3 linked regions of the Tribolium castaneum genome follow. The main gene of each other region encodes a partner of the protein of the gene in region 3 in a complex. Links are inferred from orthologs where the notes say so. Each region holds a gene or a part of one and is shown on either strand. Other genes may lie near its edges. The genes, in order: crn, 116 kDa U5 small nuclear ribonucleoprotein component and l(2)37Cb.

Evidence for each region.
Region 1: l(2)37Cb (region 3) and crn share a complex: the UniProt entries of both Homo sapiens proteins name them as parts of the minor spliceosome. The link is inferred for Tribolium castaneum from reciprocal best matches to the Homo sapiens genes DHX16 and CRNKL1.
Region 2: l(2)37Cb (region 3) and 116 kDa U5 small nuclear ribonucleoprotein component share a complex: the UniProt entries of both Homo sapiens proteins name them as parts of the minor spliceosome. The link is inferred for Tribolium castaneum from reciprocal best matches to the Homo sapiens genes DHX16 and EFTUD2.

What each region holds. Positions count from the first base shown.
Region 1 is NC_087400.1:96,356-100,110, reverse strand, and holds crn (protein crooked neck), read left to right. Parts: upstream 1-1,023; 5' UTR 1,024-1,121; coding exon 1,122-1,160; intron 1,161-1,214; coding exon 1,215-3,191; 3' UTR 3,192-3,219; downstream 3,220-3,755. Other genes in the region: Nle (notchless), read left to right, coding at 1-817; protein OPI10 homolog, read right to left, coding at 3,433-3,755. UniProt on the Homo sapiens protein: Involved in pre-mRNA splicing process. As a component of the minor spliceosome, involved in the splicing of U12-type introns in pre-mRNAs.
Region 2 is NC_087401.1:10,807,651-10,811,305, forward strand, and holds part of 116 kDa U5 small nuclear ribonucleoprotein component, read left to right. Parts: intron 1-3,381; coding exon 3,382-3,655. UniProt on the Homo sapiens protein: Required for pre-mRNA splicing as component of the spliceosome, including pre-catalytic, catalytic and post-catalytic spliceosomal complexes. Component of the U5 snRNP and the U4/U6-U5 tri-snRNP complex, a building block of the spliceosome.
Region 3 is NC_087398.1:7,190,218-7,193,972, reverse strand, and holds the start of l(2)37Cb (pre-mRNA-splicing factor ATP-dependent RNA helicase DHX16), read right to left. Parts: upstream 2,257-3,755; 5' UTR 2,096-2,256; coding exon 1,743-2,095; intron 1,695-1,742; coding exon 1,378-1,694; intron 1-1,377. Other genes in the region: T-cell activation inhibitor, mitochondrial, read right to left, coding at 2,464-2,698, 2,746-2,877, 2,927-3,070, 3,178-3,278, 3,326-3,755. UniProt on the Homo sapiens protein: Required for pre-mRNA splicing as a component of the spliceosome. Contributes to pre-mRNA splicing after spliceosome formation and prior to the first transesterification reaction.

The sequences.
Region 1 (3,755 bases), on a different chromosome or scaffold from region 3:
TTGGGAACCCTACCACCAAAACGCCGAGTGTCGCTTTCTAGCCTCGGCGAGTAAAGATTGTGACGTCAGGATTTGGGATACGGTCCTGTGTTCTTGTACTAGGGTTATTTCTGGGCATTTGAAAAGTGTGACTGTGGTCAAGTGGGGCGGTCTGGGGCTCCTTTATACGGCTTCGCAGGACCGGACTGTTAAAGTTTGGAGGGCTAAAGACGGTGTGTTGTGTCGTACGTTAGAAGGGCACGGTCATTGGGTCAACACTTTGGCCCTCAACACTGATTATATCCTCAAATTGGGGGCGTTTGACCCAGTCAAAGACACCCAAATCCAATCACAAGACTTCGTCCTGCGTCGTTACAACGAAATCGTTAACCCTATCGGTGATGAAAGACTCGTCTCGGGCTCCGATGATTTCACTTTGTTTTTGTGGGCCCCCTCAAAAGACAAGAAGCCGTTAAATCGGCTCACGGGGCACCAACAATTAGTTAACGATGTGAAATTTTCACCAGATGGTCGCATTTTTGCCTCGGCTTCGTTTGATAAGAGTATTAAATTATGGGAGGCCAAAAGTGGTAAATTTATTTGTACGTTAAGGGGGCACGTACAGGCTGTTTATGTGATTTCGTTTTCGGCCGATTCTAGACTTTTAGTGAGTGGAAGTGCCGATTCAACACTCAAATTGTGGAATTTGAGGGAGAAGAAATTGGAAATTGATCTGCCAGGTCATGGGGATGAGGTCTATGCGCTTGATTGGGCCTCAGATGGCTCCAAAGTGGCCTCGGGGGGTAAAGACAAAGTCTTAAAGTTGTGGCAAAATTAAATGCAATAAAATTTTGTAATTTTTCTCGAATTTTATTTAAAAAAAAAACAGAAAACTGTAATTGTGCGCGACATGTGGCGTCACCAGTGCAAATCTACAAATCCAATAATACAAAAACTGGCTTGCGGAGTTTAATTACTTACGTAAATTATTGTTTAATCTATATTACAACAAACAAACACTCGATCAAAATTTAAGGCACGATATTTCACAATTTGTGTGGTCCAAACATAACCACAAAAAATCGTAAGGTTATGTTCGTGTTTGTTTGTTGTGCTACAAGTTGGTAAAAGTCGCCCCTGAGATGGAAACCAAGCCGCAAAAGATGCCCAAAGTGGCCAAGGTACGTTATTTACCTTCTCTTTCAACTTAATAACTAACTAAAATAATTTTCCAGGTGAAAAATAAAGCCCCTGCTGAGATCCAAATCACAGCCGAGCAGCTCCTTCGCGAGGCAAAAGAGCGCGACCTTGAGATTCTCCCTCCGCCCCCTAAGCAAAAAATCTCCGATCCAGCTGAACTTGCCGACTACCAACTCAGACGCCGTAAACAATTCGAAGACAACATACGAAAAAATCGAACTGTTATCTCCAATTGGATTAAATATGCCCATTGGGAAGAATCGCAAAAGGAAATCCAACGAGCTCGTTCGATATTTGAACGTGCCTTGGATGTGGACCATCGTAACGTTACCATTTGGTTAAAATACACTGAAATGGAGATGCGAAACCGTCAAGTGAACCATGCTAGAAATTTATGGGACAGAGCCGTCACGATTTTGCCCAGAATCAACCAGTTTTGGTACAAATACACCTACATGGAGGAGATGTTGGAGAATGTGGCTGGGGCCAGAGCTGTCTTTGAACGCTGGATGGAGTGGCAGCCGGAGGAACAAGCCTGGCAAACGTACATCAATTTTGAGTTAAGATACAAAGAAATCGACCGTGCGCGAGAAATCTACGAACGCTTTGTTATAACACATCCCGAAGTCAAACACTGGATTAAATACGCCCGATTTGAAGAAAATCACGGTTTTATCAACTCGGCCCGCTTGATTTACGAACGAGCTGTACATTTTTACGGTGATGACCATTTGGACGAAAAATTGTATATTGCATTTGCACGGTTTGAAGAAAACCAAAAAGAACATGACCGTGCTCGCGTTATCTACAAGTATGCCTTGGACCATCTCCCCAAAGAACAAGCGAAAGAGCTGTACAAAGCCTACACCATACATGAGAAAAAGTACGGCGATCGTTCCGGTATTGAAGATGTGATTGTTTCGAAACGTAAGTTTCAATACGAACAAGAGATACTCGAAAATCCGACCAATTACGACGCTTGGTTTGACTATTTGAGACTGGTGGAGGGGGAAGGGGACCTTGAGACGTCACGTGAGACGTATGAGCGGGCCATAGCCAACGTGCCACCAACGAAAAATAAACAATACTGGAGGCGTTATATTTACTTGTGGATTAATTACGCCCTGTTTGAGGAAATCGAAGCGGTTGATTATGAAAGAACACGTCAGGTTTATAAAGCTTGCCTTGACTTGATCCCCCATAAGTTATTCACGTTTAGTAAAATTTGGTTGTTGTTTGCACAGTTTGAAATCAGGCGGAAGAATCTGATTGGTGCTCGTAAAATTTTGGGGACTGCCATTGGTAAATGCCCACGTGATAAATTGTTCCGTGGGTATATTGATATAGAGATACAGTTGCGTGAGTTTGACCGGTGTCGTATTTTGTACGGGAAATATCTAGAGTTTGGTCCGGAAAATTGTGTGACTTGGATGAAATTTGCCGAGTTGGAGACACTTTTGGGGGATTTTGAGCGTGCTAGGGCCATTTATGAGTTGGCAATCGCTCAGCCAAGGCTAGACATGCCTGAGCTGCTCTGGAAGGCCTATATCGATTTTGAGATCGGGCAAGAAGAGTGGGCTAATGCCCGACAATTGTACGAAAGATTGTTGGAGAGGACAAGTCATGTGAAAGTTTGGTTGTCGTATGCGAAGTTTGAGTTGAGTTGTGAGTCGGATATGAATATTAGTTTGGCAAGGCGTGTTTATGAGCGGGCTAATGAGAGTTTGAAGAGTTATGGGGAGAAGGAGGCGAGGGTTTTGTTATTGGAGAATTGGAAGGAGTTTGAAAGTGCAAATGGGAGCGAGGAGACGAAGGAGAAAGTTGAAGGGAAAATGCCAAGGAGGATTAAGAAGAGAAGGAAGGTTATTGATGAGGATGGTGTTGAGCAAGGATGGGAGGAGATCTTTGATTATATATTCCCTGAGGATGAGGCCAGTAAACCCAATTTGAAGTTATTGGCAGCTGCCAAAAGCTGGAAGAAGCAGAAGCAAACGGAAGAACCGGAACCGTGATTTTGAGAAAATAGAATTAAGGTTTAAATTTTGTTTTATTCCCCTTTTGTCACTTATCCAAGCGCTATCTGGTCAACGATTTTGCACTGCAACAATTAATTTTTTGTGGGCAAATGATAAGATAATAAAAAAATCGATACTTTATTCATTTAAATACATTAAAAGCGAGTGAGTTTTGAGACTTAACAGCCGCCATAATCCAGCTTTGATGAACACAAGACACACGTATGCACACATTCCTCTACGTTTTCCAAAAATTGGGGTTTTGTTGCAACCGTCGTTCAAAATTCGTGTACCAGTTCTGTACTGTAGCCAACGGAACGTACGTGGCCGTGGGATCTGGGACCATTTGCGGTTGCGTCACCGTATAACTCAGCACAAAATTCATAAAATTCTCCAACATTTTCTGAGCAAACGTGACATTATTACTGGGATTATTCGCCGATTCGATTTCCCGAATATTCGCCAGCGGCTCAATAGCGATCCCTATTTGCGCATTGTGTACGATGTGACTTTGCCCGAATAAAATATTCATCGAGTCGCCCATCTCTTCGAGTTTTTTCA
Region 2 (3,655 bases), on a different chromosome or scaffold from region 3:
AAAAAATATGTAAAAAAATAAGTGTTCTACAAACGACTTCTTATTAAAGATATCGACTCTTGCATAAACAGAAATACAACTTCCTTATTTGTCAATGCTTTTGAAGATACGTTCGATGAATAAAGAGATGGGGTTTATAATTATAAAACCTAGAGTTTTCAAAGATATGAAATTACGATTTTCTTGTTTTTTAAAATTGTAATGTTCTCATTTTTTTGATATTAAACGGTTTTACAACGTGAGGTTTCTAAATTTTATTTATTTTATTTAGGGCTAATAGTTCATTAAACATTAGAGTTTTAATTTTATTTTTCATTTTTATCAATTTTATTTAAAAAAATAATTCGGTAAAATGCGTTGTTGACATTTCTGTCGTTTTGAAACAGCTGGTAGTACCAGTTAAACTGTTTGCAATTTATTTTTGTTTCACATAACGGACGGGACAAAAAAATCTTGTGTGTGAAAATATCTCTAAAAAAATATTCAGCCAGGTTTTTTAATTATTAAAGACTAACATTATCAAAATTAGACAGAAATTAAAAATTTTTGGTCTTGGTTAACGACGTAAGAAATAAGAACCACAATAACGGACGGGACAGCAAAAATTACGAAGATATAAAAATAATATTACTAATCAATTTACTTACCGATTTCAATTTTCTACCAGAAACTAGAAAAATACTCTTCAAAAGATGTTCAACACTTGTAGTACGTCAGTATTTTATGTTCCCGTCTACAAGACAATGTACAGGGTGTCCCACCGAAAAGTGCACCCCCTCGTAACTTTTTTATTTATTAATCAATTCAAACAAAATTTAAATTACATATATTTGGACCAAAGGTCCACATTTTAATGTAACCATTTTTTTTGTAAATTTTAGAATTCACTGAATTACTTCAATTTAAATGATTATCCTTTCCCATTTTAAATCCACAACAAAAAAAAAACTCTTGTCACAAAATACATTAAATATAAACCGAATTCTTAATCGAAACTTAACATTACTACGATAATTTTGAAAATTTCGGTGTCATTATTCCTGAAATGGTTGATAATACGAGTAATTAATTGCATTTCTGCATGAAAAATGCGTTAAAATGCTCGTAAAATCATTTTTGATTTTAATTTTTAATGAATTGTATAGGTGCGAATATAATGGAAAACTCGTAAAATTACAATACTGGGTGAGTCATAATTAAGTCTACAATTTTATGAGGCGAAACGAGATATAAAATACCCAAAAAATTAACACAGCTCCAAATTATTTTAAATCAATTTACATTTAACTAATTTATTAATCGTGGAATAAAAGCACAAATATTCTTAATAAACTGACGAAAATCGAACAACAAATATGAGAAAAATATATTTCTATTAAAAATTTCAATTTTGCGCTGTGTGATATTTTTCAAAATGCTGCGAATATCGTTAAAAATCCATGAAAAATTTCCTACAAAAAGTTCTCGGTATTTTTATCTTTAATTGTGTGCTGTGGTGCCTGTGATTTTGTGTTTTTAAAGCAATTTAAACCGATACGGTTGAACATAATTGTATACTTTGTCCCTTATATTTTATTGTGTCTTTTACCATTTATTTATTTATTCATTTATTTATTTTACCATGAGGTTAAAACATCATGCGATTTTCTAAAATTTTGATCTAGTTATCCATGACAGTTACTTTAACTCGATGTACATTACGGAAATAAGTTTCCAACATATTTTTTTTATGTTCTTCGGTGAATATTTTGGACATATTGACAGATAAAGCGATGCTGAAATTATTTACGCAATTCGGAAGTAAAATTACCGTTGGGGGCGCCACTGAACTAGGTCGAAAACAGTAACCATAAATGGAGGGAAAATGTTTATTCGGATATTTTGAGCGTTGTACGAATTTTGGGGCTTCACAATTATTACATTGCCTATGCGGAATGATTATTGCATCTTTGATGCAAGAAACTTATGTTGATAAATGAGAGATGACGAGGAAAACACGAATAACGAATGACTGTTTGGTTCACTTTCTTTATTGGAAAATTATTACAAAGACATTGAAAAGCCTACCTTTTGGCATAATTTACGTTTAAATGTATCAGCAGTTGTTAATCTTTATTGTAGTTTTGTAGATTTACCGCAGCATTTCATGATTTTTTCAGTGGAAAATTCTAACCTAAAATTCACACACTTCACTAATTTATTGGTTTCTTGAGCCAAACTTTGTGTTCGCTGTGATCCATTACTTATAATCTTTAATTAGACAACTGTTTGATAACACTTTGTAATCAAAATTTAAATATTTTTCACTTTTTATCCACTTTCAAGTTCCAACAATAAACACTTTATACCACGAAAAACTACAGAACCAAAGTCAACGCTAGTATTTACCACCACGTACTTTTAAAGTGATTCTTTCTATTGTAAGTAATTAACACTATACACGCAAAATTGTTGAACAATTCATTAAATGTCAGTTAAATGTGGCATTACGAAAATTTCTTTACTGTTTTCGACATAGTTCAAAAGTCATCACCAGAGGGCGTCTAGTTAATTTTATCTCCGAATACGTTTCACTGTTGGCGTAACTGTCATGGATAACTAGATTAAATTTAAAAAAACGCTTGTTTCTTTCTTTGTTTGATTTTCTGTATTTTTTCACAACTTTTACCTTTAACTATTGAGAATTGCTCTAATGGTCTGTAATTTTTTTAGCTGATGTCGATAATTTCTAAATTAACTGAAGTTTTCCGATTTTTTAACTTCAATTTACTTCTCGGGGCAGTTTACATATGGGCGTTTAGTTCAAAATATTTTGTCTATTGGGTAGATTTTTATTTTTCCAATTTTTAGATTTATTTAAGAAATGTGTGACTCGAAAACTATACGCTTTAGAGCCTTACATGAAAATACTGGGAATACATATTTAAGTTTCTGGAATGACGTTACATAAGAAACATAAATAAGTTCGTTTGTCCGGAATAAAATGGAACTTGTTAAAATTTAAAACAAAAAATTACTACGTCCTGTCTTTAACTAAATTACTATTTTTCTAATTAATTGATAAGCATCTGCTTGTCATAACACTCATAATATAACATAACCGTCGTAATGTTTACCATTCGCCCCCCCTCCAAAAATAACAACAAAAAACAATTAAGCCCTTATCAGATTCGTTAATAAACCCAGGAGCAATTTTTTTGCGCGTCTCAACCGCAATAAATGAGGTAACCAACGAGTTGTAAAATCTCGTTTAGCCCCAAGGCCGTTCATCTAGAGATAAGTTCCATGACCTCGACTAATGAATTAATGATAACGAGTTGTTTACTACGTCTTGACTTTCAAAAATTCTAAAAATACCGCATTATTTAATCAAAATTCCAGATACAAAATCGAGCTAAACCGCGTCCCTGCCGGCAATTGGGTCCTAATCGAGGGCATCGACCAATCAATCGTTAAAACAGCCACAATCACAGACCTCACAATCTACGAGGACTTGTACATTTTCCGCCCCCTTAAATTCAACACCCAAAGCATCATTAAAATCGCCGTGGAGCCCGTCAACCCTTCGGAACTCCCGAAAATGCTCGACGGGCTCCGAAAGGTCAACAAATCCTACCCCTTGCTGACCACAAGGGTGGAGGAGTCAGGCGAGCAC
Region 3 (3,755 bases):
GATTCTTAAACAGGTGCTAAATCGGTTCTTGTAAGAAGATTACAGAGAAATAAAAAAATAAATGCCTACTTTTTAGAAATACAGAGCAATTATTTTAATTAAATCTACCTACTATGAACTGAAAAGGTCAAATGCAAGTCAATACTTTGTCTTTTCTCTATTTTTAGTTTGAATAAAAACGGCTTATTTCTGACGATTCTTTGGTTAAAAACGAAAGATTGAAAAAACTCTAGATAAAAAGAACGTTTTTTTTGCACTAATTTGGACGAAAACGATTTATTTTATACAATTTCTTGCTTAGAAACGAGAAAACTCTTTGAGAAGTGGCTGAAAACCGCCTTATTTTAGCCGAAAACAACGATTTATGTTATAGTTTGGATGAAAACGGCTTATTTCTGGCTATTCTTTGCTTAAAAACGAGAAAACTCTCATAAAAGAAGATTGAAAACGCCTTATTCTAGCTCAAAAGAACGGTTTATGCACTAGTTAGAACGAAAAAAAAAATCATTTTGTATAATTTCTTATTTAGACACGAGAAAATTCTTGTATAAGTGGCTGAAAACGCCTTATTTTAGCCGAAAACAACGATTTATGTTATAGTTTGGATAAAAACGGCTTATTTCTGGCGATTCTTTGCTTAAAAACAAAAAACTCGCATAAAAAAAGATTGAAAACGACTTATTCTAGCTCAAAAGAACGGTTTATGCACTAGTTAGAACGAAAACGATTCATTTTGTACAATTTTTTGCTTACAAACGAGAAAACTTTTTGAGAAGTGGTTGAAAACGGCTTATTTTAGCCGGAAACAAACAACTATTTATGTTATAATTTGGATGAAAACGGTTTATTTCTGGCGATTCTTTGCTTAAAAACAAAAAAACAACGCATAAAAGAAGATTGAAAACGCCTTATTCTAGCTCAAAAGAACGGTGTATGCACTAGTTCGGACGAAAACCATTCATTTTGTACAATTTCTTGCTTAGAAACGAGAAAACTCTTTGAGAAGTGGCTGAAAAGCCGTATTCTAGCCGAAATTGACTTATTTTGGACGATTCTTTATCTATTTTCTTCCAATAAAAATTCTGTGAGACATCAAATAGTAAATTATTTTCTTTTGCCGTAATAATTTTATGAAAATATTCTAGTCCTCAATTTTTCGTTTAGCCAACAAAACTACATACTTTTGCTAATATTCAATTAATTAGCCTTCTCTCAAATGAAACGTTATTACTGCTTTTTGTGCTTTTGTAAGATACGAAATTTTTTTTTCAGAATTAATTTTTACGAATTATCATTTTGTTACTTCATGGCTCATGACGCAATTAATGTTCCATTTATTGGGACGAAGTATCATAAGATACTATAAAAAATAGAGACCTGGCATTTGCAAGACTTGGATGAAGTCAATCTGGTCCTCCAGCAACAAATCGTACTCGTCCTTCTTGGCTGAATCCTTGGCCCCGAACTTGAAGACCGCCGACGCCATTTGGTCCTTCTCCCATTTCTTCTGCTCCGACTGGGGCACCTTTTCCAGCTCATCAACTTCCACATAGTCCGCTGTTGACCCCTTGCCCAAATCCCTGGGCATGTGGTACCGCTGCACCCTTTCCAATTCACGCGCTTTTTCATGTTCCTGTGCCAACCGCAGCAATTCCCGCTTACGGTCGCGCTCCTTTTTCTCACGTTCTGTTAATCTAAAACCTCAGGTTGGCATTTACCGCAAAATCATTCCACCAACTCACATCTCCTCCTCGAACAAATACTCATCGTCAGCGATATCCTCCTCCAATTCCGCGATTTTATCATCTTTACGTTTCTCTAAATATTTACGTCTTGACTGCACCCTCAAGGCGGGGATCATTTTTTCGCGGTCTTCAGTTTCCAGTTTGAGTCTCTTGGCGGCTTCCTCGTAAGCGCGCCGGTCTGAGGCCTGGACAATGTTGCGGACTTTGGCTTCATCGCGTTTTTTGAGTCTACTAGCGAACTCGTCACGTTCTTTCAGGTCTTTACGACGAGCTTCTTCCTCACTGTCCACGGACTCGGAGTCCGAGCTCGATTCGTAGCGCTTACGCCCCTTCTTGTCTTTTTTGCCCATGGTGAGGCACTCCAGCAAGTGTTGACTACAAAATTTTACTTGTGCCTCGCTAATATGTGTAGTTTTTTGCTTAATTAAAGAGTGTTTTACTGAATTTTACATTCTTCCACCAACAACATAACCTCTAAATGTCAAAACAAACTTGACAAGTGGTTAGGTTACAAGTCCGGTGGCACCGAAATTTTGAGAATGCGATTTTAGTGATTGCATTCAAACCAATTTATTAAAATATTAAAAGGCTGTGACACAGGGATAAATAAACCAATACTTGTATTTAATATAGATTTATTTCTTATCACATAATTTTACAAGTTAATATTTTTTTACCTAGAAGAAGTGAAAATTTTGGTCTTTTTTCGCATCTACTATCACAATTTCCAATTCCAAGGTATACAAACCACTCCATCTGAAAGAACAGAGTAGTAAGTAGCTACGTTTAAATGTATACCGTTTAGATATTGTTCTATATCAATTTTTTTTTCTAAGAGCCGTTCACAGCATTTAATCATTAAATCCGGTGTTATATTATCATCTTTCCTAAGATTAAATAACTTGAATTCATCCATGCATTGTTTTTGCAAAGACCGCTCTATGTATTTATCGCTGAAATAGAAACAATTAACGGGAATCAAAATAAAACATTCACAAACTTTTTATATTCAGTCATTTTTTCCTTGGCGTGTTCTAAATTGGTTGTGATAAAATTGACTAACAAAAATCCAGGTAGGGAAGACGGGACTATAAACTGACCAGTGGGAGAGACCATCAAAGGTCCAGCTTCCCTAAAATAATAAAACATTTATGATTAAATTAAAATAAAAAAATTCATACGTTTCAACAACAATCTCAAATTCTTCTAACGACTGGGGCCACTGCTTAGGGAACCCCCGCCTTCCTCTATAGTCACTTAAAGAAGTCGTGATTTGTTGCAGGTTTCGCTCGTATTCTCCCGCCAAAACTTTCGGCATAAATTTTCTGAAAAAACAAATCGTTTTAAATTAATTCAAATCCAATCAATAATAACCAAAAGTCTGAGAAAAACTGACGACTAAATTTTATATGTGAAACATGAGAATTCTTACCTCCTGCCAACTTTGATCCCTCTCAAGACTTGCGAGACGGATTTTTCAAAACCAGGAATTCGGAATAGGATTTTGTCGTGCTTTCTCACGTTTTTGATCAACTGTGGTCAAGAATTACTTTCAAAACCACATTCAAATTTTCACTTACATCAAGCCAATTGTGCCGCACTTCCCCACTGTTGAGCATGATGTGCCCCTCTAGGCTGATCCCTGTAAAGGGTGCAAACACCAGCGTGCGGCCCTTCAAAACGTGCATAACTTCCGGATGTTGTTCAGCCAGAGACATAAAGCTTTGCAGACAGCCCCGAAAATGGGTGACATTCCAGCCGCAGTCCCAGCGGACGTCGGTCAGCTTCCACTGTTGGGCGATTTTTTTGCGCAAACGGTCGACCTCCTCGCGTAGAGGCCGATTGGCTTCGAGTTTTTCTAAGGCACTTTGGTAGTTCTTAACCAGCCAGTTGCGTAACTTGAGGGCTTCTTTGGCCTCGTTGATTTTTTGGCGCATGACAATGGGGCCAAAGATCGGGTCGTTTTCGTTCACTTTCGAAAAATCGATGTTGCTGGTGTTGATTCTGACG